Linked DNA regions of Schizosaccharomyces pombe. Changing the gene in region 4 together with the main gene of any one other region gives a genetic interaction. Each region holds a gene or a part of one and is shown on either strand. Other genes may lie near its edges. The genes, in order: ase1, clr3, lsk1 and rik1.

What was found.
Region 1: mutations in rik1 (region 4) and ase1 together harm fitness more than expected from each alone (negative genetic interaction), as found in Schizosaccharomyces pombe (3 studies listed by BioGRID, with this or other methods).
Region 2: mutations in rik1 (region 4) and clr3 together harm fitness more than expected from each alone (negative genetic interaction), as found in Schizosaccharomyces pombe (3 studies listed by BioGRID, with this or other methods).
Region 3: mutations in rik1 (region 4) and lsk1 together harm fitness more than expected from each alone (negative genetic interaction), as found in Schizosaccharomyces pombe (3 studies listed by BioGRID, with this or other methods).

The regions. Positions count from the first base shown.
Region 1 is NC_003424.3:1,876,038-1,881,350, forward strand, and holds ase1 (antiparallel microtubule cross-linking factor Ase1), read left to right. Parts: upstream 1-2,151; 5' UTR 2,152-2,324; coding exon 2,325-2,748; exon of another isoform or gene 2,749-2,795; coding exon 2,796-4,567; 3' UTR 4,568-4,689; downstream 4,690-5,313. Other genes in the region: SPOM_SPAPB1A10.08 (uncharacterized protein), read left to right, coding at 222-849, 922-1,544; GTPase Ypt71, read right to left, coding at 4,842-5,288. UniProt on the Schizosaccharomyces pombe protein: Required for anaphase spindle elongation and microtubule bundling in both interphase and mitosis. Has a role in spatial and temporal regulation of septation and cytokinesis and ensures equal partition of segregating sister chromatids.
Region 2 is NC_003423.3:252,697-257,866, reverse strand, and holds clr3 (class 2 histone deacetylase Clr3), read right to left. Parts: upstream 3,182-5,170; 5' UTR 3,046-3,181; coding exon 982-3,045; 3' UTR 729-981; downstream 1-728. Other genes in the region: cell cycle transcriptional repressor Whi5, read right to left, coding at 3,883-4,557, 4,636-4,719. UniProt on the Schizosaccharomyces pombe protein: Responsible for the deacetylation of lysine residues on the N-terminal part of the core histones (H2A, H2B, H3 and H4).
Region 3 is NC_003424.3:3,951,687-3,957,450, reverse strand, and holds lsk1 (P-TEFb-associated cyclin-dependent protein kinase Lsk1), read right to left. Parts: upstream 3,656-5,764; 5' UTR 2,981-3,655; coding exon 2,033-2,980; intron 1,987-2,032; coding exon 1,896-1,986; intron 1,881-1,895; exon of another isoform or gene 1,830-1,880; coding exon 1,151-1,829; exon of another isoform or gene 1,100-1,150; coding exon 1,036-1,099; 3' UTR 582-1,035; downstream 1-581. Other genes in the region: SPOM_SPAC2F3.16 (ubiquitin-protein ligase E3), read right to left, coding at 9-308. UniProt on the Schizosaccharomyces pombe protein: Catalytic subunit of the CTDK-I complex, which hyperphosphorylates the C-terminal heptapeptide repeat domain (CTD) of the largest RNA polymerase II subunit. Involved in RNA polymerase II transcriptional elongation and pre-mRNA 3'-end processing.
Region 4 is NC_003421.2:1,465,778-1,472,484, reverse strand, and holds rik1 (CLRC ubiquitin ligase complex WD repeat protein Rik1), read right to left. Parts: upstream 4,604-6,707; 5' UTR 4,312-4,603; coding exon 1,189-4,311; 3' UTR 705-1,188; coding exon of another isoform or gene 672-704; 3' UTR 629-671; downstream 1-628. Other genes in the region: SPOM_SPCC11E10.09C (alpha-amylase-like protein), read left to right, coding at 1-118, 185-628, 672-704; translation initiation factor eIF2B alpha subunit Gcn3, read left to right, coding at 6,479-6,632, 6,690-6,707. UniProt on the Schizosaccharomyces pombe protein: Component of the Clr4 methyltransferase complex (ClrC) which contributes to the establishment of heterochromatin by specifically methylating histone H3 to form H3K9me.

The DNA.
Region 1 (5,313 bases), on a different chromosome or scaffold from region 4:
CTGTAAAACGAGAACTAGAAGCAATTGAGCCTTTTATTCGTCTTTTGAAGGCTTTAACGTTTGTTTGTTGTATTTTTAGAAAGCTCGAAGGTCGTATAGCTTTCCAACATTGTAGCTTCTAATTCACTTTATGAACTGCTTTGCAATTAGAAACCGGTAGGATTTGATCAATTGGCTTTATATATAGGCGCTATATTTTCTTTCTTTTTACATTTCTTTCTATGATGACTCGGATGGAATTAAGACCATTGGAAATTGGCTTCTCTAAAGCACTCACAGAAGTAGCTCCGGTAACTTGTCAATGCGAATGTTGGGATCATAATCTTTGCAGCTCTCAAGCTAGTGAGATGGATTTAATTTATCAGTCTCAGGATACCCATTCTTGTGCATCAAAGCAAGACGCCGTTTTTCAGTTGCTGAGTGAAACCAAGATCCCTGTTCCCAATCGTTATAGAAAAATTTCACATCGCTTGAGTACTCTATCTAATAAAAAAACTCTTAAATCACAATTAGATCGTTTTTTGTCTTCGTCCAAAAAATTACACAATGATGATGTTAATAGAGGTGATTACTGCTTTCTTCTTTCTACACCTGTCGAGTGTTCTGCTTCTACCAACTCTCATTCTTACGACTGTTTGTGGAATTTTTCGTGTAATTCATTCCCTGAATACTCCTCCTACTCTGCTTCGGAAACGTCTTCAGTCGCTTCTTACTCTTACTATTCGGGGCCAAATCCTGCAACTCCCAGCTCTTCCTCTTGTAACCTCGTAAACGCAAATAGCCTTGATATTTACTTGAATATTAACAACTTAAAAAAATCCAAATCTGTTCCTCGTTTAAGAGGTCAATGTATGTTCTTTTAAGATTTTTCAACCTTTTCTCTTATCTTTTATTTATTCATCGTTGCTAACAATATCATAGTTATGGAGCCCGTAGAGCATAACCATCCACTTTCTAAAAGTCTTGAGGAGCAATCCTCTTTTTTGGAACAATCAAAGGATGCTTCCTCTAACTTGACCGCCTGCAATAGGAGTGGCTCTAGTTTATCATCTAATTTCTACTCATCTAGGTTGTCCAAAAAAACATCTTTAGCATCTTTAAATAAGTCTCGAGCTTCTTTACAGCATAAAATAATGTCGCTATCTCGTAATATCATCAGACGTGTATTTCACAAGCCAGAAGTGCATTTGGATCCAAGTGCCTCCATTTTAAATCTCTCATCTTCGCATGGCGAAAGCAACCTGACAAATGGTTTGCTTTGTCAAAATTTCAAGCTTTTTCAGGATGATTGGTTGATGGAGGATTGTGCGCCAGATGCCAATTTCACTTTGTACACCCCGCTTCAACCCTGGGAAAAGCGAAGTGTGAAACCTGAAATCAGACGTCCTCGATTAAATCCTAATTTTTTCCGAGTATTTGTTTTAGAAGCTCAAATGCGACGAGCTGGAAAGCTATCAGCAAACACTGCTGGCCGAGCCCAGTTAATTTACCTCCCAAAGCCTGCCGTTACCTTCTCCACTAGCCCTTTGCATGTTGAATTGTAAAAATTTAACGCATGACTTATATACATTTGCATTCTTCCAAGCTGGTTATATTTATTTTCATTTTTTTCTCACCCAATACTTTTTTATCCCTACTGTCTTTATGGACAATCGACTCACAATTGTTTCTTTTTGTTGTATATGATTTTTTTTTTAAAGGAAATGGGTTTCGCGATACTGGGTTGAATCCCAATTGCGGTTAATATTACATAAAATAATTCTCCCATAGTCCTAGATCCTGTCTTTGAATATGAGCAAATAAAAGAATTGAACAAATCATGAATGCTTTTCTCTCTTAGATGATATTTTGTATGCATAAGTCTAATTATATTGATTACGATAAGACTTAAAAAGTAAGCCTTTGTATCCTTTTAAGCAGTATTTGAATTTTCTTGTATCATATTTTAGGTAGAGCAAAAGATACCAGTTTGTAGAACTTTATGTGCTTCCTTACATTGGTATATTTCAGGCACATAAATATTCTTCAACTTACAATTCTAAGTATTTTGTTTATACTAAAAGGAGCTGAATAACGTTTATACAGTGCTGACATTGAAATCTATTTGCTTTCTTTGGAATATAAGCGCATGCTGAGTTACTTTCGCAGGCCAAGCCATATCCAACCACCATTTTTGTGCCAAGCTTTTATGCAAGGTTAATTCCTTGTACTGCTTGTTATGTTATAATATATCAACATCTTAACAGTTTTCATATCTTCCTTTATATTCTATTAATTGAATTTCAAACATCGTTTTATTGAGCTCATTTACATCAACCGGTTCAATGCAAACAGTAATGATGGATGACATTCAAAGCACTGATTCTATTGCTGAAAAAGATAATCACTCTAATAATGAATCTAACTTTACTTGGAAAGCGTTTCGTGAACAAGTGGAAAAGCATTTTTCTAAAATTGAAAGGCTTCACCAAGTCCTTGGAACAGATGGAGACAATTCATCATTATTTGAGTTGTTTACAACGGCAATGAATGCCCAGCTTCATGAAATGGAACAGTGCCAGAAAAAACTTGAAGATGACTGTCAGCAAAGAATTGATTCAATCAGATTTTTGGTTTCCTCATTAAAGTTAACGGATGATACTTCTAGTCTCAAAATTGAGTCTCCTTTAATTCAGTGTTTGAATCGTTTGTCAATGGTAGAAGGACAATATATGGCACAGTATGATCAAAAGTTAAGTACGATTAAAGGTATGTAATCGTCTTTAATTTAGACTTGTGTTTTAACTGATGTATAGAAATGTATCACAAATTGGAGTCATATTGTAACCGCTTAGGAAGTCCGTTCGTTTTACCTGATTTTGAGAATTCATTTTTATCTGATGTATCCGATGCTTTTACTGAATCTTTGAGAGGACGCATCAACGAAGCCGAAAAGGAGATTGATGCGAGATTAGAGGTTATTAATTCCTTTGAAGAAGAAATTTTGGGTTTGTGGTCTGAACTCGGTGTTGAGCCCGCTGATGTTCCACAATACGAACAATTGCTTGAATCCCATACTAATCGACCAAATGATGTTTATGTTACTCAAGAACTTATCGACCAACTTTGCAAGCAAAAAGAAGTTTTTTCCGCTGAAAAAGAAAAGAGAAGTGATCATTTAAAAAGTATACAATCAGAAGTTAGCAACTTGTGGAATAAGCTTCAAGTTTCTCCCAATGAACAAAGTCAATTTGGCGATTCATCAAACATTAATCAAGAAAATATTTCATTATGGGAAACTGAACTTGAAAAACTTCATCAGTTAAAAAAGGAGCATTTACCCATTTTTTTAGAAGACTGTCGTCAACAAATTCTTCAGCTTTGGGATTCTCTGTTTTATTCAGAAGAACAAAGAAAGTCCTTTACACCTATGTATGAAGACATTATTACAGAGCAGGTTCTTACGGCCCATGAAAACTATATAAAGCAACTAGAGGCCGAAGTTTCTGCTAATAAGTCCTTTTTAAGCTTAATTAATCGCTATGCCTCTTTAATAGAAGGAAAGAAAGAGCTTGAAGCTAGTTCTAATGATGCCTCTCGTCTAACACAACGGGGACGCCGGGACCCAGGTTTACTTCTACGTGAAGAGAAAATCCGTAAGCGACTTTCTAGAGAACTTCCTAAGGTTCAGTCGCTGCTTATACCAGAGATTACAGCATGGGAAGAAAGAAATGGAAGGACGTTCCTTTTTTATGATGAACCACTTCTCAAGATTTGCCAAGAGGCCACTCAACCAAAATCATTATATAGAAGTGCAAGTGCTGCCGCAAACCGCCCGAAAACAGCAACTACAACGGACTCTGTTAATAGAACACCTTCTCAACGAGGGCGTGTAGCTGTACCTTCAACACCAAGTGTTAGGTCCGCTTCTCGAGCTATGACGAGTCCAAGGACACCGCTTCCTAGAGTAAAAAACACTCAAAATCCAAGTCGTTCCATTAGTGCAGAACCGCCATCAGCAACCAGTACCGCCAATAGAAGACACCCCACTGCTAATCGAATTGATATAAACGCTAGATTAAACAGTGCTAGTCGGTCTCGAAGCGCGAACATGATAAGACAAGGGGCAAATGGTAGTGACAGCAATATGTCTTCTTCACCCGTTTCTGGAAATTCCAATACCCCTTTTAACAAGTTTCCAAATTCTGTATCTCGCAATACACATTTTGAATCCAAGTCACCGCACCCAAATTACTCTCGAACTCCTCATGAAACGTATTCAAAGGCTTCATCTAAGAACGTCCCATTAAGTCCTCCAAAGCAGCGTGTAGTTAATGAACACGCTTTAAATATTATGTCGGAAAAATTGCAAAGAACTAATCTGAAAGAACAAACACCCGAGATGGACATTGAAAACAGCTCGCAGAACCTTCCTTTTTCTCCTATGAAGATATCCCCCATAAGAGCATCACCCGTAAAGACAATTCCATCATCACCGTCCCCCACTACCAACATTTTTTCTGCTCCACTCAACAATATTACAAATTGTACACCGATGGAGGATGAATGGGGAGAAGAAGGCTTTTAAGCTTCTTATTTACCTAATCGATCAAATTTAAATATACATATTTTTGCATATGAATACAGCATATAGATAATTCATAAAAGTTTATTAACTGAGGTCATAATTAAAAGACTATTTACACCTAAAAAAAAACGTGTATCAATAGAGGGAAAAGAGAAGAATTAAGAACAGAAAGTAACCATAGTTTTGTTAAAATAGCAATGTAAAAAAATATTATGAAAAGAAAACGTATAGCACATTTTGAAATGTAAAAGAATCTGAGAGAGCGTGTGAATATCTAGCAATTACAAGAAGATGTATTATTCAAAGGCTTTGAAAGAAGCAAAGGTTCAGAGAAGTCATTAACAAAGTCATCTCTCGAGCTTTCATTTTCTAAAGCTAAACGACTGACTGTTTCGAAAAGGTCAGTAACGTTTGTATTTTCTTTTGCACTAGCTTCAAAATGAATCATATTTGATCCATGTTTGGATTTGCAATAGTCAAGAGCTCGATGAAGAGATACGGCTCGTTTAGACGCGTCTTTGTCGATTTGATTTCCAACGATAATGAAAGGGAATGCACATTCATCTTGTGAAGTTTGATATAAAAATTCTTGCCTCCAGTTTTCTACTGAGTCAAAAGACTTCGAGTTATTCACATTATAAACAATTACACAACAATCGGCCCCTCTGTAAAAAGCCATTCCCAGGCTTTGAAATCGTTCTTGACCAGCAGTATCCCAAAGCTGTTTATAATTAGCAAACGAATTT
Region 2 (5,170 bases), on a different chromosome or scaffold from region 4:
AAATGATACTTTGGGTAATTACTTGTCTGTAATAACCAAAGTAAGATGGTATTGAGCAGCTTCAAATAAAATGCAGTTGTGCTACGACAAGAGAGTAATCTTCTAGGCAAGGGAGATTACAAGATTTCTACCAGTTGCTAACACCTTGACTTGTGAGTTATTGCGCAAATGTTTAGTGCTATATATAATATAGGATCAAGTCGTTTTATTAAAAAAAAAAAAAGCCAGCCTTCCTTAATAGTAAAGTTGCTACATTTACAATTACTGTTGACCGGTTATCATTCATGCAATTTGGATTAGTTAAAAAAGTTGAACATCACAGAATCATCCATCATTCATGAAGGTCGTACTGGGAATCGAACCCAGGTCTCGAGAATCAGAATCTCACGTGCTAACCATTACACCATACAACCAAATCAATTTTTTTGTGTGATATAGTTATTAATATTGGAGAATAAGAAAACAATTTAAATGCTGTTTGTACTATGAATCTAATTTTACAATTTAAACAACATACTATAATATTATCCTTTTGCGGTACAAAAAATGGATGAGGGATTTCCCTCAGCTTTAGAGAAATGCTTTTAAGCAAAATTACGACAAAAATCAACAATAGTTGTTTGAACTAAAATAATATCACGGATTTGAGGAGCTTTATTTTATAAAACAATATTATAACCTTATTTATTTAATTATATTGAACATGAATAAAATGAAGCCAGCAATAACAATAAACCATTTGTGTATACATTCTACTGGAAAATAAAGTCAAAATCCACCAACCTTGAGAATAATGAGCTCGAATTAAAGTATAAGTAAAAGAGACAAAGCAGCTTAGCAGATTGAGTACGAATCATTCAGCGGGTTTGGCAAATCATGAATGTCCGTTATAAATTTTAACGTAGATAACTTAAGGAGGTTAAATGTGTGACAATTAAAAGAATAGAAAACCATGAAAAAATCATAAGTCAATAACGAATGTTACTGAGAAGTTGGTCGGGCCTTTTGAAGCAAATGCAGCAAGTATTGAGTAACCGCTCGATAGTGTTGCTCCATCATGTCCGAAGTTTCAGTATGTTCACTTTGCATAAGTCGTCCATATCTTCTTTTAGCACGCTTTGCCTTTTTCCAGCACTCATTACTAGAACTCACAAACACGAGTGAATGACGATAATACCACGTTGGAAGATCTTCCTCTGATGCCGTTTTAAGACCCACCAAAGGTTCAGTGCCAAGGAAATTCACCATACACTTAACTCTGTCTGACACATTCCTGGAAGATGCCAAATTAACCAATCCATGTACCGCTTTGCCTCCACCGATGAAAAAAATATTTTTTGAAATCGACAACTCAACATAATTATCCCATACATAAAGACAAAGTTCTTTCACTTCAGAAAGAATGTCAACCGGTGCATTTTCACCGTCCGTAACCACTTCAGGTATATTTATGTCGATAAGCCCCCAGTCCTGTTGCATAGCCCATTCAACATAAAGGCTCACGGGATCTACTAAAAGCGAATCATTTAAATTCAAAACGTTCGTTTCACTAGTTCCATTACCCAGGACTCTAGGAGATTCATGGACAATAACGAGAAGGTTATCTTTTTGAAAGAAATTGCTAGAGCACAGTACTTGATTGTTGAATACATTGGAAACGGAATCCCTTAGTATTGGCATATTGGTAATTTTCCAGTCTTCGAAAAGTTTTTTAGCTTGATAAGTTCGAATAACATCATGTAATCGATCTACATGGGCATCCTTAGGATTTGCGTCGAAGTGTTTCGGCCTCATACATCTCCAGTATTGGGATTGTATTTTGGTTACATGGTTGATGGTAGCAACGGCCTGTGGACATGCATATGTTGTATGCAATCGTCCAGGAGGAATTCCCAACAAACTTTGGGCTACAGCTAAGGCTGATGTGCTTATAGAATCCAAATTATAACCTCCCTCAAGGGAGATAAAAACTTTCCCATCTGCTAATCCCATTAACATTTGTGTCATATGAGCATAGGCAGCTGGAGTTAACAAGAATTGACCAATGTGATCTCCTGCAGCAGCATCAAAGCCGCAACTTACAATAACTAAATCTGGATCAAATTCATAAGCAACAGGCATTACGACGCGCTGAAAAGCGTATATATAATCACCATCTCCCATGCCAGCACAACTCCAAGGAATATTTACAGTTCTACCCAATCCCGGGCCCTCTCCACAATTTTCTGCACACCCATAATTGGTGCCAGGATAGAAACGACCATTTTCATATCGATGCAAAGAAACGTATAGAACATTTGGATCGTCATAAAAAGCCATTTGCGTACCATTTCCATGGTGTATATCCCAGTCGACAATCAATACTCTTTTTATTTTATCCGGAAAGCGTTGTAGCATACTCCTTGCGGTTACAGAAACATTGTTGAATAAACAAAAGCCACCAGGTTTATGGGGTTCTGCATGATGGCCAGGAGGGCGAACAACTGCGAAGGCATTTTTTACTTGACCAGTTACGACAGCCGTACATGTTTCAATTGCGCTACCACAAGCCAATCGAGCACAAAACGCACTTTCGTTATTATAGTATAGAGAATCACTGATTTTTTCGAGATTGGCCAAATCCTCATGAGACATTTTTTCGGTATTAGTAACCCTATCATACATTTCCTGTGAATGAACTTGTAATAACTCTTCTAAAGTAGCTTCTCTAGCCGGAATCCGTAAAAATACATCTGACGGACTCGGCACATTAGATACATAACCGGCCTTCTTTATAGCTTCAAAAACACGAAGGACGCGTCTTGGATCTTCAGGATGGTCATCCACTTCACTTAGAGTGGCATGGAATCTCATTCGAGGATCATAGCATAATCCAGATTTTTTCAAGATTTGCGACATTTCATGGGATTCGTTATTTAATGTATTTTCACTTCCAGACATTGGTTTATTGTTTGTCAAAAGAATAGACCATGGAGTTACCGTGTTTACAGCATCATCGGATGGTTTTACAGAAGTAGATGCACCATCAGAATTAGAGGCCAGCATTCGTTTTCTATCGCCCTTAAAAAGGTCAATCAATTAATAAATTAATAAAAAAATCTCCTATTAAACAACTCCCTCATAAAACTGTCGAAACACTTTTTGAAGCGCGGCTCACTCGATATAGGTAGTTTTGGTCGTCAAAACTGTTGCTGGTACTTCTAAGACATAAGTATAGAGGAGCAATGAGAGAATATAATCTCAACCATGCTAACAAAGGAGTTTGTTTGGTAAAGAATAAAAATGTAAGTAATTAAGACGTTTAGTAAGGCTTTAAATAGAAGATTGATCCTGAACGTATGGAGATTGAGAAAAAATAGAGTTTGTAATGAGGCTCATGGGAGGGTCTTATTTTTATTTATTTATTTATTTTATTTTCTTAGAAACTTAAAAATAGCTTTGTCTCGAGCCATACTTCGAAATGAATGCATAATTTTGCGAGTTCGCGAATTTCCATTATCTTATATAATAATCATTTCAAATCATAAGGATCAAGATGTAGGAAGAACGTTAATAAATACATGGTAAATAATGTTTCTATGATCTTTAAGACTGTTGTACGCCCGGAAACATTCACCCTTTGTCATAAACATCATTAAGCATTATCACAATTTGGCTTGTACATATCAAGCATTTAAACATATAGAGGGTTAATAGCTCATCAACCATAGGACTGGAGACGGATAGCAAGAAATAACAAAACTTCTCAAACGAGATTTTTCCAAAAATTCTTCAGCAGGATGTGAACAATCAATCTATTCATCCAAATTATAGATTAACTCTCATGAAATAATTATGTAATTTTATATCTTAATGCTCGTATACCATCTAAAATGAAGGATGTTATGGTTTTTTCGAAGGCATAGAATTCACCAACGTAAGCATAACTTCAGCTGCCTTGCAATCATCTGCCGATAGGGGATAAGCCGTTGGAAAAGGAAGACTCGTGGACTTGCGAATTCTACTGAGGTTTGCAGTGCCAAGGCGAAGAGACTCATCGGTTTCTTCAGGGCGTGAAATATGGTAATTCATTCCGAACAGTGGAGATTTAGCTGAAGCAGTGGAGGCATGGCTAAGTTCAAATGGCAGTCTGGGTAGCTCAGTATGAGGCTCAACGTAGTTCAACCAAGGAGGACTAGTTCTATCAAAAGACGAGGACGTAGAAGAAACAGCACTAGAAGATGAGTAAGGAGATACAGGCTTCTTATAAGGAAGCTGAGCGAAGCCCTCTCTTGGGCTCACCAATCGCGTAAATGAACTTGCACGCAGCTTGCCTGTATTCGATCCCATAATTGAGTTGGGGTGATGCGGCCTTCTTAGCTTAGAAGAGTCCAAGTCATTGATCGAGCGTGATCTACGATGAACGTGATTTTCCTTACGAACAAGCGTTTCCACTTGATCTAATGTCTGATCTTCCCATCCATGATCGACCTTAAAAAACGCTGCCTTCAAACGAGCCCTAAGTTTGTTTGATAACTTGTATTCAAAAGTTAATGACAATTCGCAACGATTTTTATGCTAAACCAAAATTATTCATCGACGATTCTATTTGTATCGTCGAGATGTTACCTAATTGTGTTTGCGTAATTGACATACCTTGCTTAATGATTCATCGTATTTTTGTTGAATAACTTCATCAGTCTGCCTTGTAGCTTCATTTTTCTTGTGGCCGCCTGCCATGAATTAATATTTGTTGAGTTCGTCTGTATGCAGGTATATAAAAATGACGAGTTATTAGCCTATTCGAATTCTCCTTTCGATAAATTCCTTTTATAATATCCAATTGCAATCAAATAATCCTCCGTATAGCATATAATTGTTTCAATTGAAACAAGACGCGTTGAACGATGTGTTGGTAAGTCGAAAGTCGCGCCTGCCCGTACAAACGATTGAAAAAAGCAACAGGCAGAACACCAGAATTATCAAGTAACAAAACACTCTACCATACAAACAATAAAAACATAAGATTATCAGCCAAAGTTACATGAATATACTGATGTCGGTTATATGCAATTTACTTGGTACCTTTGTCTTTTTGTAAACACCGTTTTCGTCGATGAGAAGTTGCAAATAGACCAAAAAAATTGCATTCAGAAACATAGATATATTCTCCCAATTATTTGGTTACATG
Region 3 (5,764 bases), on a different chromosome or scaffold from region 4:
GTACTTACCTGCATAAGTAAGGCCTTTCTCTTCTCACTCAATTGCGACATCGATTGTATTTCGTGGATTTTTTCACGTACGGAATCTTGCTGCGTTAAATCCACTCCTTTCAATATTTCTTCATCTTCTTCATCTTCTTTTTGCTTTTGAACTTCAAGGAATTTCTTATTACAAGAGTCATCAGTCCCAACATCCTCTTCAGTAATATCTTTCAACAGGTCAGGAGGTAGTTCGAATATTGAGGTTAATTCTTGTGCAGCTTCCTCAAAAATCTCAGCGAATTCACGAAGATACTCCGACAATGACATCGACTTTTTTTGTGTTTGTTTTTTTTGTTATAATGATGGTTCTTGATCAAAAGGAGAAGGGGAATGCTTACCTATTCCTCGATCAGTTCAGTGTTGACTTATAGTGTGGTCCAGTGCAATGCGGAATGTGATATCCGTGCCATCACACTATTGTAAAAGCCGTAGATATACTTTGATCAATTTTAAGCTACGCATTCAAATAGTAACTTAATTTTTGCTCTCTTAATTGTTAAATCATCATTACTAAATATTTGAGCAGGCTCTTGAGAACATCTGCACCTTAACATTATTAAAAAGTATATGTAAACAAATTATTATTACTACGGTTGACTGATTAAAAGAAAACCACATCATAAATTCATACGAGTCCTTTGAATTTATCTTTTTTGTACACAGTACCAAGCTCATTTCAAGACTTCAAGCCTTTGATTTCTAAGTTCTTAAAAGGTGAAAGAGTTATAATAGTCAAATAAACCAGTGGAACATTTAATTATCATGAGCTATTAGTGTTCTTATTTCATCTTTTTCGGAAGAAAAAGAGAGCAAAAAATGAAAAAAAGTTGTCCAGCATCAGACAAATTTGTTACTCTGCCTAGTGTTAACAAAATATATAGAAGATAGACCGCAGTAAAGCGAGACAAAGAAATTAAATGAAATATAAAGATTATTTTTTTTAAACATTTGTCCAGCTTGCATAGCTTCGCCTTGACAAAATTTTCTGGCTCATTTATCTTTTAGATTTTCGTTTTTTACTTTCCCATTCATGCCAACTTCCTTGCATGTTTTTCAAACTAAACACATAAGTTAGATAAATATCATTCAACGATAAATTTTATACTTACATGACTGCTGGCTCTGGAGGTGGGCTCTCAGAAGTGAAATACTCATGCATCAAGGTCTCATGAGCTGACGGTCTACAAAAGGGATTTAGGGCAAGGAGTTTTTGGCATAGGTCAATGGCGGCAGGACTTAAAATCTCCTTAAAAGTTTCAACAAAACGCGACTTCTTTTCCTCTACTGGCTTCAGAAGCTCATACCAAGGAAGATTTTTCACCTCAGGCCAAGAATGAACATCAGGGGTACCCATCATATCATAGATAACCTCTAACTGACTGATTTCGTCTCGCCCTTGAAAAAAAGGTTTTCCTGTAAACAACTCCATAACAATACAGCCAGCACTCCATATGTCCACGGCTGTGTCATATGCAGTTTCTCCAAGTAATAGCTCTGGAGGTCGAAACCAAAGGGTAATAACGCGATTAGTGTAGTTAGCCGACTTCGAAGATGTATTAAATCTCGCCAGACCAAAATCTGCGAATTTTAGATCACCATTGTTATTCAGTAATATATTAGAACCTTTAATGTCACGATGAAGCACCCCACGATGATGAAGATAAGCTAATGCTTCAAAAATTTGCTTCGAAAGGTGTTTTATGTTACCGGGAGTAAAATGTAATTGTGAATTTAGTAAGACTCCAGTTAAATCGTGATCCATGTACTCAAATACCATATATACAGAACCTAGAATTTTAAAATGTTAGAACTAGTTATAATTAAACGGTGAATGAGGACAGTATTTAATCGTACTTTTTTCCACCATAATTTCTAATAGCCGAACAATATTTTTGTGACGCAAACGCTGCAAGATTTTGACTTCACGGACAGTAGTTATAGGGAACTAGAAAGTTAGTCAATTTAGTTACGAGCTTGATTTTTATACTTACACCATCCTTTTCCTGCTCCAGCCTTATCCGTTTTAAAGCTACCAAATCTCCTGTGACTGTGTTAATGGCTTTGTATACTTTACCATAAGTTCCTTCTCCAATTTGGTCGATTTTCTCATAGGCAGGCTTTGGATATGTATATGTATAAATTGGGCCGGAAGGAGGAGAAGGAAGAGGAGCTGGAACAGACTCACGGGCCGTGGACGTGAGTGCCATACGTTTCGAAGGAGGTTGATCGAATCGAGATCGGCGTTCATTAGGTATATGAAAGTGAAATTTTCCATGTTTGTTCTCTGGAAAGCCAGAAGACACGCTAGATTTTTTTTGTGTATCGGAGGAAGTAGTTTCATGAGGGATAGAAGGAATAGGGGGAGGAGAAGATGAAGGTCTCCGCGATACCTTTCGACCGTTAAAAGCTGAAGGCTTCATATGTACAGAACTAGGCGGAGACCTTCGAAAAGAAGAAGCTTGCCTTTTTGAATCATTTCTGTTTGCGGACGGTGATATAGGTGAGACGGAGGCGCTAGAAGAGCTTTCAGAGCGTTTGGCAAAGTAATCCTTGGTAGTTAAATTACGTGCTCGTTTTTGACTACCTGAGCGGTAAAAGGAAGGTGATGGAGGTGAGCCAGGTCTAGGACTGAATGCCTTTTTACCCTTTCTCCTTCTAGATTTTCGAGAACGAAAAGGTCTTTCATGCTGTCTTGCTCGGGAAGAATGTGTATCGTTGAGAGGAAATGTTCTTTTCCGCTGTTCTCGAGGATCCTTCGCAGATGAGGATGGCGATATACTAGATGAATTATTTTTGAAAGCATTAGAGGACAGGGTGTGGCCTCCTAAAGACTCCTCATTTGTACCAGAAAGCTGAGACTTTTCTTCGACGGTACGCCGAAAGTGGCTATTTGGTTCTGTGCCTTGTCGGCGATAAATTGTACTCTTCGAGTATGACATTTAACAGGGTTAAAAAAAATAAAAAATAAAAAAAGGAATATTCCTAAACAATGAAGAGAATTACACGCAATCTGTGAGCGAAAATTCGATGGGAATAAAAGAAAAGAAATTAATCGTTAAAGTACGGCCAAATGTGTTTTTATGTAACAATAAATACAACTTCACCGGAAAAAAATCGTACAAGGGAAATAAAAGGTAAGCTGCCAAGACAAGCTAGTTAAATCCAGTGAAATAAATCATGCAATCTAATAAATGAAGAAAGGACAATTTTCAGAGTGGAGATTTTTTTCACCGCTAAACTATGAAGGGTGAACGTGAGACAAACCTTTTCAATCAATAGAGAAATCTAACCAGAGATTTGTGAATAAGTCGGTTGCAGAAATGTTATTGAAACGTAAATGTACAAAATATGAGTATCCACAAAATTAGGAAATACTTTTAAGTATCAACTCTTGCAGCTTAAAAAAATATACCGTAATTTTCTTTTAGTTGCACTCCTGATTTCTTTGATCTATCAATTCAAAATGTACATTGTTAAAAACACCAATTATCTCGAAATTTAATAAAGACAGAAATAAATTAGTTCTTCCTCTTCTATGACAATGAATGAAGTAGTTTGCAAGTCCACTAGTTTAATCAAGGGGCGATAGGTAAACTTCGTTGTTGGTGTGTAGTAGAAATAGAAATAAACGCGCGCGACTCAATTCCTTTACCACACCATACTTAAAATAATAAGTAATTTGAGGCTATGATGAATATCAGCTTGTTTTATAGAAATCAAAGTAAATAATGTATTTATTCAATGCTTAACTCTTAGCCATTTTCTCTTCCCCATTTGCTAAGATGGTCTTTTAACTATTAACTAAGTCCAACCAGTTATTCTCAATTCATATAATATTATTGGATTAAACCTTTTCATCTGAATTATATTAAGTTCATATTTAACATTTTAAAAAGCGATGAAGATAAATCTGGTAATCCGCATGGATCCTTGGAAATTGCCATTGGCGATAGTAAACCAAAGGAATCAAATGTCGACTAGATAAAGGCAAGTCTGAGCTTTTCTATTAGTTTTGAATCGTTTAAAATAATATTATTTATGAGAAATTAATATTCTACCATAAATTAGTGTTTTCCGTGAGTCTAAAGAATACAAAGTAAAATAATCAATAATATGCAACCCTTACATGTAAGGTAGGAGGGAATATATTATTTTACTGTATATAGAAGTTTTACATCCTTTCATAAGTATAACGTTATCACATTGGACGTTCTAGTAGAACGCCAGTCTTCAAAACATTAAAAATTCATATTCAGCCTCTCAAAATCTATTGTGTGCAAATTGTTTGCAAAGCTAAATTAATCAATAATATTTTTTTAAAAATTAAACAAAAATGCTTGGTTTTAGAAAGAACAAGGTTAGGTCAAGAGCTTCAAGATGAATAACTCATGGAATTCTGTTCCTGTTGTTTATTCAATTTTAAGAGTGATGATTTTGACATAAATTTGGTGCAATATTGTTTAAATAATAGTCTCATTAGTTAAACTAAATGTTTAAAAAAAAAAAAAATCATTGCAAAAAGCTAAATGAGCATAATTGATTTTTTATAAGTTTTTTTTTTCAAAAATGCAAACAAATAAATTAAATTTGTTTAATGAAATTAAAAAATAAAAAGGTAGATGATCGTACAAACGGCTACTACCAGTACGATATAATTTTTTATAAAAATTCCAAAACGTAAGCATAATTAATATGAAATAATAAAATATCATAGAAATTCAAGTGTACAAGGATCCTACGACCAAATGTTTGCTTTCATATGTATATATTCAATTCTAAATATTTATATAGCTTACTCAATTTGTGCAATTTTAACAAAGAAACGTGATTTTATTACAATAAATAGGTCATTAAAAAAATAAAAATTTGCACTTATATTCAATTGACTGACATACAAAACGTATTATCAGAGTTAGACTTAAATAAAATTTTCCTTATTCAACGGACATCCTATACTGGTTTCTGTGGATTTATGATATATTTGCATATGGTAAATTCAGCGAGAGAGTCCCTTGCACTCAATTATATTCACCAATAATACTTAATGAATCTTAATCGAAAAGACATGGACGTTGTGCTTTCAAATGCGAAAACCATATCTTCTTATTCAACATTTAATATGGGGTAAAAGTAGAGTACTTCTAATATCTTAAAGCAAAGCAAAAAAAATAAGCTCTTTTATTATGTTATATTTTCGTTAATAAAAATCGCTTCTTCAAACATTTATTCATCACAGGTGCGATATAAGAATCTGAGTTTGTACTCTATAGCAGCTCTTTTAGCTTTCAGTATTTAATTTATTCAAATGCTATATGCATAATTCCTTCATAGTTTGGCTATGTCTTATCGTTTCGTTTAGTATATTTACAATTCCATTTTATATGTGTTAAAGTAATTATCGAAGAAAGAAGACTATGTAGGGAGAAAGTTTATAAACTGTTAATAAATCGAATTGGTGTCAACTATTATTTAGTCTAACATCGGTAATCCACAGCAATAGCTTCAACGATATCCTTAGGCTTGAAAAAACAAAACTTTTATATAGGAGTTAAATTCACCAAATTATATTTAATTTTTTGGCCATCAATGAACAGGCCAAGTGCATTTTAATTAATGTTATATTGAATCGCACTGTGGAGCCTTAATCCATTTAAAGTAGATATAGTTAGAACTCGTGGTATTTCGCAAAGATACGTTATTCAGAAATATTAATTTTTGTTGTT
Region 4 (6,707 bases):
ATTTTATGATAAGGCCGTACTTGATGTTCGACATTACTTCAAAGATGTTACCGTCTTGTGTAACTTTTTGGAAAATCATGATTTTCCTCGCTTTTTTCATGAAACCAAAGACATCGCCGTAAGTCTATTGAACAATATTTCAATTTAGTACCTGCATTTTTTATATATTTTAACATTTATTTAGCTGGCTCTTAACGCATTAACTGCACTTATTTTCATGGACGGTATTCCAATTATCTATTATGGACAAGAACAGATGTTTGACGGTGGTAGCGATCCTGACAACAGAGAAGGTCTTTGGAAAAGTAAATACAATACTTCCAATCCAATGTTTAGACATCTTTCTTCAATGATACGCACGCGTCAAAATTTGGTTGAGACCTACCCAGAGTTTACATACGTGCTATCTTTTCAACTATACATTGACGATTCAGTTTATGTATTTACTCGTCCAGGAGTCATTATAGCCATAAGCAATGAAGGCTCTACCTCGTCGTTTAAAGTTGAAATAGATTTGAAAGAACACTGGAAAGAAGTGCCTTCAAGTTTTACAGATATTCTTACTCAGAAAACCATCCCCTGTAAAGACCATAAACTGAAGATCAAATCAAAAAGTGGCTTGCCAAAGGTAAGCATTTAGTTCATGTTTTATTCTACTAACAATTTTTAAGATCCTAATTTCCTCTGACCCTAGCTTCCTATAGAGAAATTACACTAGAGTTTCTCCAGTTTAATTACACTCCAAAAATACTTGGCAACACGTGATCGCCAAATGGAGAAAGTTTTTTTTTAATTTTTTAGCTTAAAAAATTCCTTTGAGCTTTTATGCCAGTTGAAGTGCTCAGTTTCTGTCATATGAAATTTAATAGTTTCATTTTAATTATTGAAATCCAGAATATATGTCATCTCGTCTTAGATAGATGAGCGATGCAACAATTATGACAAATATCTTGAATTTCGAAGAAGATTTTACGAAAGAAATTGAGACTGATAACTTTTTAACCAAGCTTTATGTACTTGTATTTATCAGTGCCATGTTGCGACAGCTTGTGACTTATAATTATAAATCAAAAGATTTTTTTTGTATTACTCACAAATGCATAATACAGTCCTAGAACCAAACTTCCAAATTTGCAATGATCCATAAAGTGTAAGATAATAACTCAGAGCAAAAAGGCAATAATACGTTTAACATAAACTTTGTATTTCCTCAAGGAGGGCTTGAACTTTTTGGTAAGAATTGAGTGATTCCCTATGTTCTACACTTCTGCATAATCGGAAAAGTTCTGAAGATGCCCATCTTTTGACATCGATAACCAAGTCTCCATCAATAAACGGGACTGGAGAAATGAGGTCTGCTTCTATACTTTCGTAGTCCATAGATGACAAGTATGAAAATTTTAATTTTCGAATTTTTCTTGTAAGTTCCTCCAGTTCTAGCTCCTTATCTTTTAATGATACTATACTCCCAATAGCACCAATTTCCGTTGCAAAAAGCATTTTTGGCTCTAAAAACGAATTGGTATTTGTTATTGGGAAATTTTGAAATTTGCTAACTTTATCATGCAGATGGTACACACTTTCACAAATGAATCTGTCATTAAAGTTTTTTGCATCTTTGTTATAACGAAGAAGTTTTAGCAAGCCACTATTAGTTGCTATTATATAAACTGTTCCTTCATATAATGCTGCTTTCACAATGTTTTCTCCAAAAAGGTATCTGGCAACGACAATAAACTTTTGGCCATCGAAGTACATAATCGTAAAACGTCCAATACTGTCCGCTATAGCAATCTCGTTACCCTCTACGATGAGTTGTAAAACTATAGAACCTAGTGATATCCTAGAATCTATCATAAGCCTTTCCTCGGTAAGTTTAACGATTGCAACTTGTTGCCCAAATGCAACGATGTATCGATCATTATATACCCCCAGATCTATCACGGCCGCAGATAGTACCATAGACGAAACTACCTTCAAAGACTGAAGCTCCTTTTCAAACTCTAACAAAATTAATCTTCCATTTACCGGCACCAACTTATCTTGTTCTATAATGCTTGTTCCTACAAGTAAAGAACTCTCATTAATCTTCAAAACTTTCTCACAACGTTCATTTTCGGTAAAAGAAAAAACCCTGAACGAATTATCATCATAACTATCGACCAACTCCAAGTGATAATTTTCCTTGTAACTTTCGTAATCTTCATATCTATTCTCGAGTGTTCTAAGCAACAGTTTATTTTGAAAAATAATGGCTTGTAACGGAACATGCTCCAAAAGTACTTTTCTTGGGGTCAATTCTGGCAATGGATTAAGTTGAAGGAATTTCAAGCCCCCTAATGATACAGAAATGAGAAAATCCTTCCCTGAGTTATCACGAAACTGACACACATCATAACTTTGAGGCATACTAAGCGGCATATAACATAGTGCTCCATTAAACCCATATACCATGTGTGGACAGTCATTGTTGCATATGATATAGGTACCAATATTCATCGTAAATCTCCTAAACGATACAGGGGTTGTACCGAAATGTTTTGTTTCAGAGAATACCAGATTATTTTTGAAAAGTACATAAGATTTAAATTCACCACTTCCGCTAGAAACTAAAAGAAGATTTCTGTCAACACCAACTCCTTCTAAAATAATATTTCTGGGCAATGATGGAACGTTGGTTTGAAAGGCGCAGCTAATTGACGAATTATCTGAGAATGTAAGTATCATCACCTGCTTAGACCAAAATCCAACTCCTATTTGAAATTGCGCTGAAAAATCAAGGCAAGAAATTTCACTTTCAAAAACTTTTCGTGCAACTTCTGTATCTTTTTTAAATATTGCCAATGCTGTTCCATTGATAACGATTGCGGAGTATTCTTGATAGCAAGCAGCGTTCGTGATTTTTTCAATATAAACTAAACGAGAGCGCTTTGCAGAATCGTAGATACAAAGAAAAGTAGATGTGACTTGTACAAACTCACCATTCGTCCCTGAAAGCGCAATCGTCCTTTCTTTGGTTGATAGAGATGGGTCTAGCTCTAACTGGAAATCTTCTTTGATATTAAAAGCAACAGTTTCACTAGGAAACCCGAGGAAGAGCTTATGCTCTGGATATGATGGTAGGACCATAGCTCGAAGGATGCCCGAGATTTTCGTCTGCCCTAAAATATCTAATTTCAGAGCATGTTGAAAATAAATTAAAGAAGCGTTTCTTGGTGTTCCTGCGCATACAAGGAAACTTTTTTCAATGTCGTTTTTGAGTACTAGTAAATCATGAATGGGTCCTAAGTTGGGTATTGAGTCAACATCCTTCAAAGTAGACAGGTTAATAAGTTTAGATTCCGAATTTTTGCTTCCGATAAACAAGAGTCCCTCATGGATGGAATTTAGAGAAGTAATAAAGTCGAAAGGTGGGATTGGTAGTCTTTCCATAACCAAGCTCCATTTGTTTTTTCCCAAGATACTCGAATATACTCCGAAAAGATATCCATTAGTATCACAAACAATATAATGCATCTTTTGCCCTTTCAAAGGAGTCCAATGCATATAAGTAGTACAAGGACCATTGATTGTAACAAAATTACCGCGATACATGCAATGAATAAACAAACTCTCAAAAACCAGCAAACCTCTTTTTCCAAAGGGCATGATCATTGACGGTTTAACCCGCTCAAATAGTCTAATCCCCTTTCCCAAACTTTTTGAGCTTAAATCTAAAAGAAAAGCTGTTACATAACAATCTAAGCCATCGCTGTGAAGGACCACAAGAGTTGGGGTACTGGAATCATTGAGAATGCACATATCATATATGAGATGCACTGGAAAAGAAAAAGGAAATCCGCTATCTATAGAACGGCCAGTTTTCAACCGTTCTTCGGCAGAAAGGATTCTAATACATATCATGGAAATTTCGTCAATGCTTAAAAAAATAGCACGCATCCTTAAGTCGACAAGGCAGTAGCTTTTCGCGTTGCGATTCCAAGGAAATGTAACTCGATAGCGAACTGGAGGATGGTCGACGATCACTTTTTGATAATCCTCGTCCCAATAAATCGAAAAATAAGTATCATCATTGAGAACTACAAATAAATAGTCTCTATCTAATCCTGGAGGGCGATATGGGCGTATATGTTTCACCGTAGAAAATAAAGGGATAGAGGTAAAGAATTGTAAGCCATGAACCTCACTACAGAGATAAATATTAATTTTTAAGGCTTGTAATAAAACTAAGCAGTTTTCAGATGATATAAAATGACATGAAGTCGCTGTGTCTACCGCCGTTGCCCAGAAGGAATGAACACATAAAGCCATACACGATGAAATCCATAAACTGATATAATAAAAGGAATAAAGACTTTTTTTAACAAAGAAAAAAATAAAAAAAAGAAGCTTTGAGTTGGTTCAAAAGATTATGACTAGACTTATGTGATTAAAAAACAGTTGAATACAAAAATAAAGAGTGGACGGCCAAGAGCCACAAAAGCCTAGAAAAAGGAATTCAAGATAGAAAAAATATGCTACCAAGTGACAATCTCTATCAAATCCTTACCAAAAAATTTCGATTTTGAATGAAAGTGCAAGACGCCAGTTACAGGCACTCCGCAGGGAGAAGAAACGAGATATGCAGTCTCTATACATTTTGCGCAAGCGAATTTATTGTAAAAGTTGATATGCATTTTTTAATATCAGATACTACACAAAACATTTTCTGATAATCATAAAACATAAGACATTTTCAACTTGCATCTTAACTAAGCCAAATTCTACATCAATGTTATAAATTTTAGCATTAGCCATATTGGGGGAAATCGAAAGCTATTGATATTTTTATAATTGCAAAACGATTTGATAATGTAGAGAAGATATTGGAATATGTTACTCTCATCGATGAGCAGAATTAAAAGCTATGGGAGATAACGACTATTGCTATTGAAAACAAGAACTAGGCACGCAAAGAAATATATACCTTCTTTACTATAGTGCATGGTATTAGAGTTACTTAAAAGATTATTTTAACAACTTGCCGATCACGAGGTGATTCACAGATTTATAGCATAAATGAAAACCTACGGATGTCTAGCAATAAAGTTAGGATTTTACTGAAATTCGAGTCGACAACTAAAACATAATATTTTTGTAGCATCGCTTTGAATGATTGAGCATGTAAATATTTAGATATAATTGAAAGCATAGAAATTATCATAAATGATTTTCTTTAGATGCTGAAAGTAATAGCGTTTTTTCTATACCAGTTTAGTGTTCGCGTCATCCATAAATACCGAAGTAAAATCAAGCTTAATATAAGCGAGATTTACGAAGGTTGGACTAAAGATTAGTTTCTCGTAGAAATGGTCATGAACTTTTGAAAGGTCTCTTAAACATAAAATAGTTTTTTAAAAAACTTTCTATATTACTTTTTACCAAATCCAATTACTGCTTTCATCAGTACTCCTTTTTTTTTAAAATGGAAGCGTTTTGACATATTTCGTTCATGATACGCTCAACTATTAGGAACATAGTAAATTATACTACAAATTCACTATCTATACAATGATAAGTATCGTTGAACGTTACATATTGGAAATCAACAGTCAAGCATTGTTTACTGATCACCGAGGAAGAATTTCATGATTATCCTCAGATGTACTCAGTCAAGAATATGATATTAAAATTATTCTCAATATTTAGCTTTAATTAAATATAAGCTATTTAATAAACCAATTTATATGTAAATACCATTCAAATCACCTACATAAATATCTATAGGAACATATCTGTAGATCAGTATCCAAAACGCCGTATAATGTCAGCTACGCAGTTTGGTATCTGCTTTAACGATACGAAAAACTGGTGAATTTTGCATATGATCCATTATATTATAATAGCCGGGTTATATAAGTAATGACTAAGTACTGGTATTGTACTATTTAGGTTATAATGTCACCTATCACTTATAACTGAACTGCGAAATGAGGTTTAGTTGTATCTCTATCGATTCTATCCAAATAATCTATCTGTTAATATAGTATTATCAATATCAATCTCGACATCGCATCATCTACGTTGCGTATCACTATATGTCACATGTTCTAATTATATATCGTACCATGTATGATACGATATTGAGATTGATCTTAATGATAATCTATTAAGATCTATATTATCTGAATAATATAAATAGAGCTACTGCTGAACCTCGTTCCTCAGTTCAGTTATGAGCTATATTAGTGATAGGTAACATTATAACTCAGTTAATACAATACCTATACTCAGTTGCTACTTATACAACCTGTGTATTGTAATATAATAGATCACAAGGAAAACTCACCGCAGTTCTACGTATCCTTAAATCAGATACCAAATTGCGTAGCTTACAATTTAATACAAAAAGGCATTGCCCGTTATTTGATTTTGTTGGATATCCTTAAAGTATGGAAAAGATGTTGCTACTAAGCAAGAGCGTCTAGCATCTGCGAATATGGTGGAATCGGATTCTTCGGGAATCGTTCGACATTCTCAAGGAGAATTTGACATCGTCCAGGTTTACAAAAAATTTTTGCAAGATGATCCAGAAATCACGATGCCTGTAGCCGCCATTGAGGCTTTAGTCCAGCTTTTGTCGCGCTCTCAAGGTATGTTAATTTGTAGTACTCATGTGAGAAATGAATTTACTGATGTTTTTCTATTAGCCAAGACAATTTCAGAAT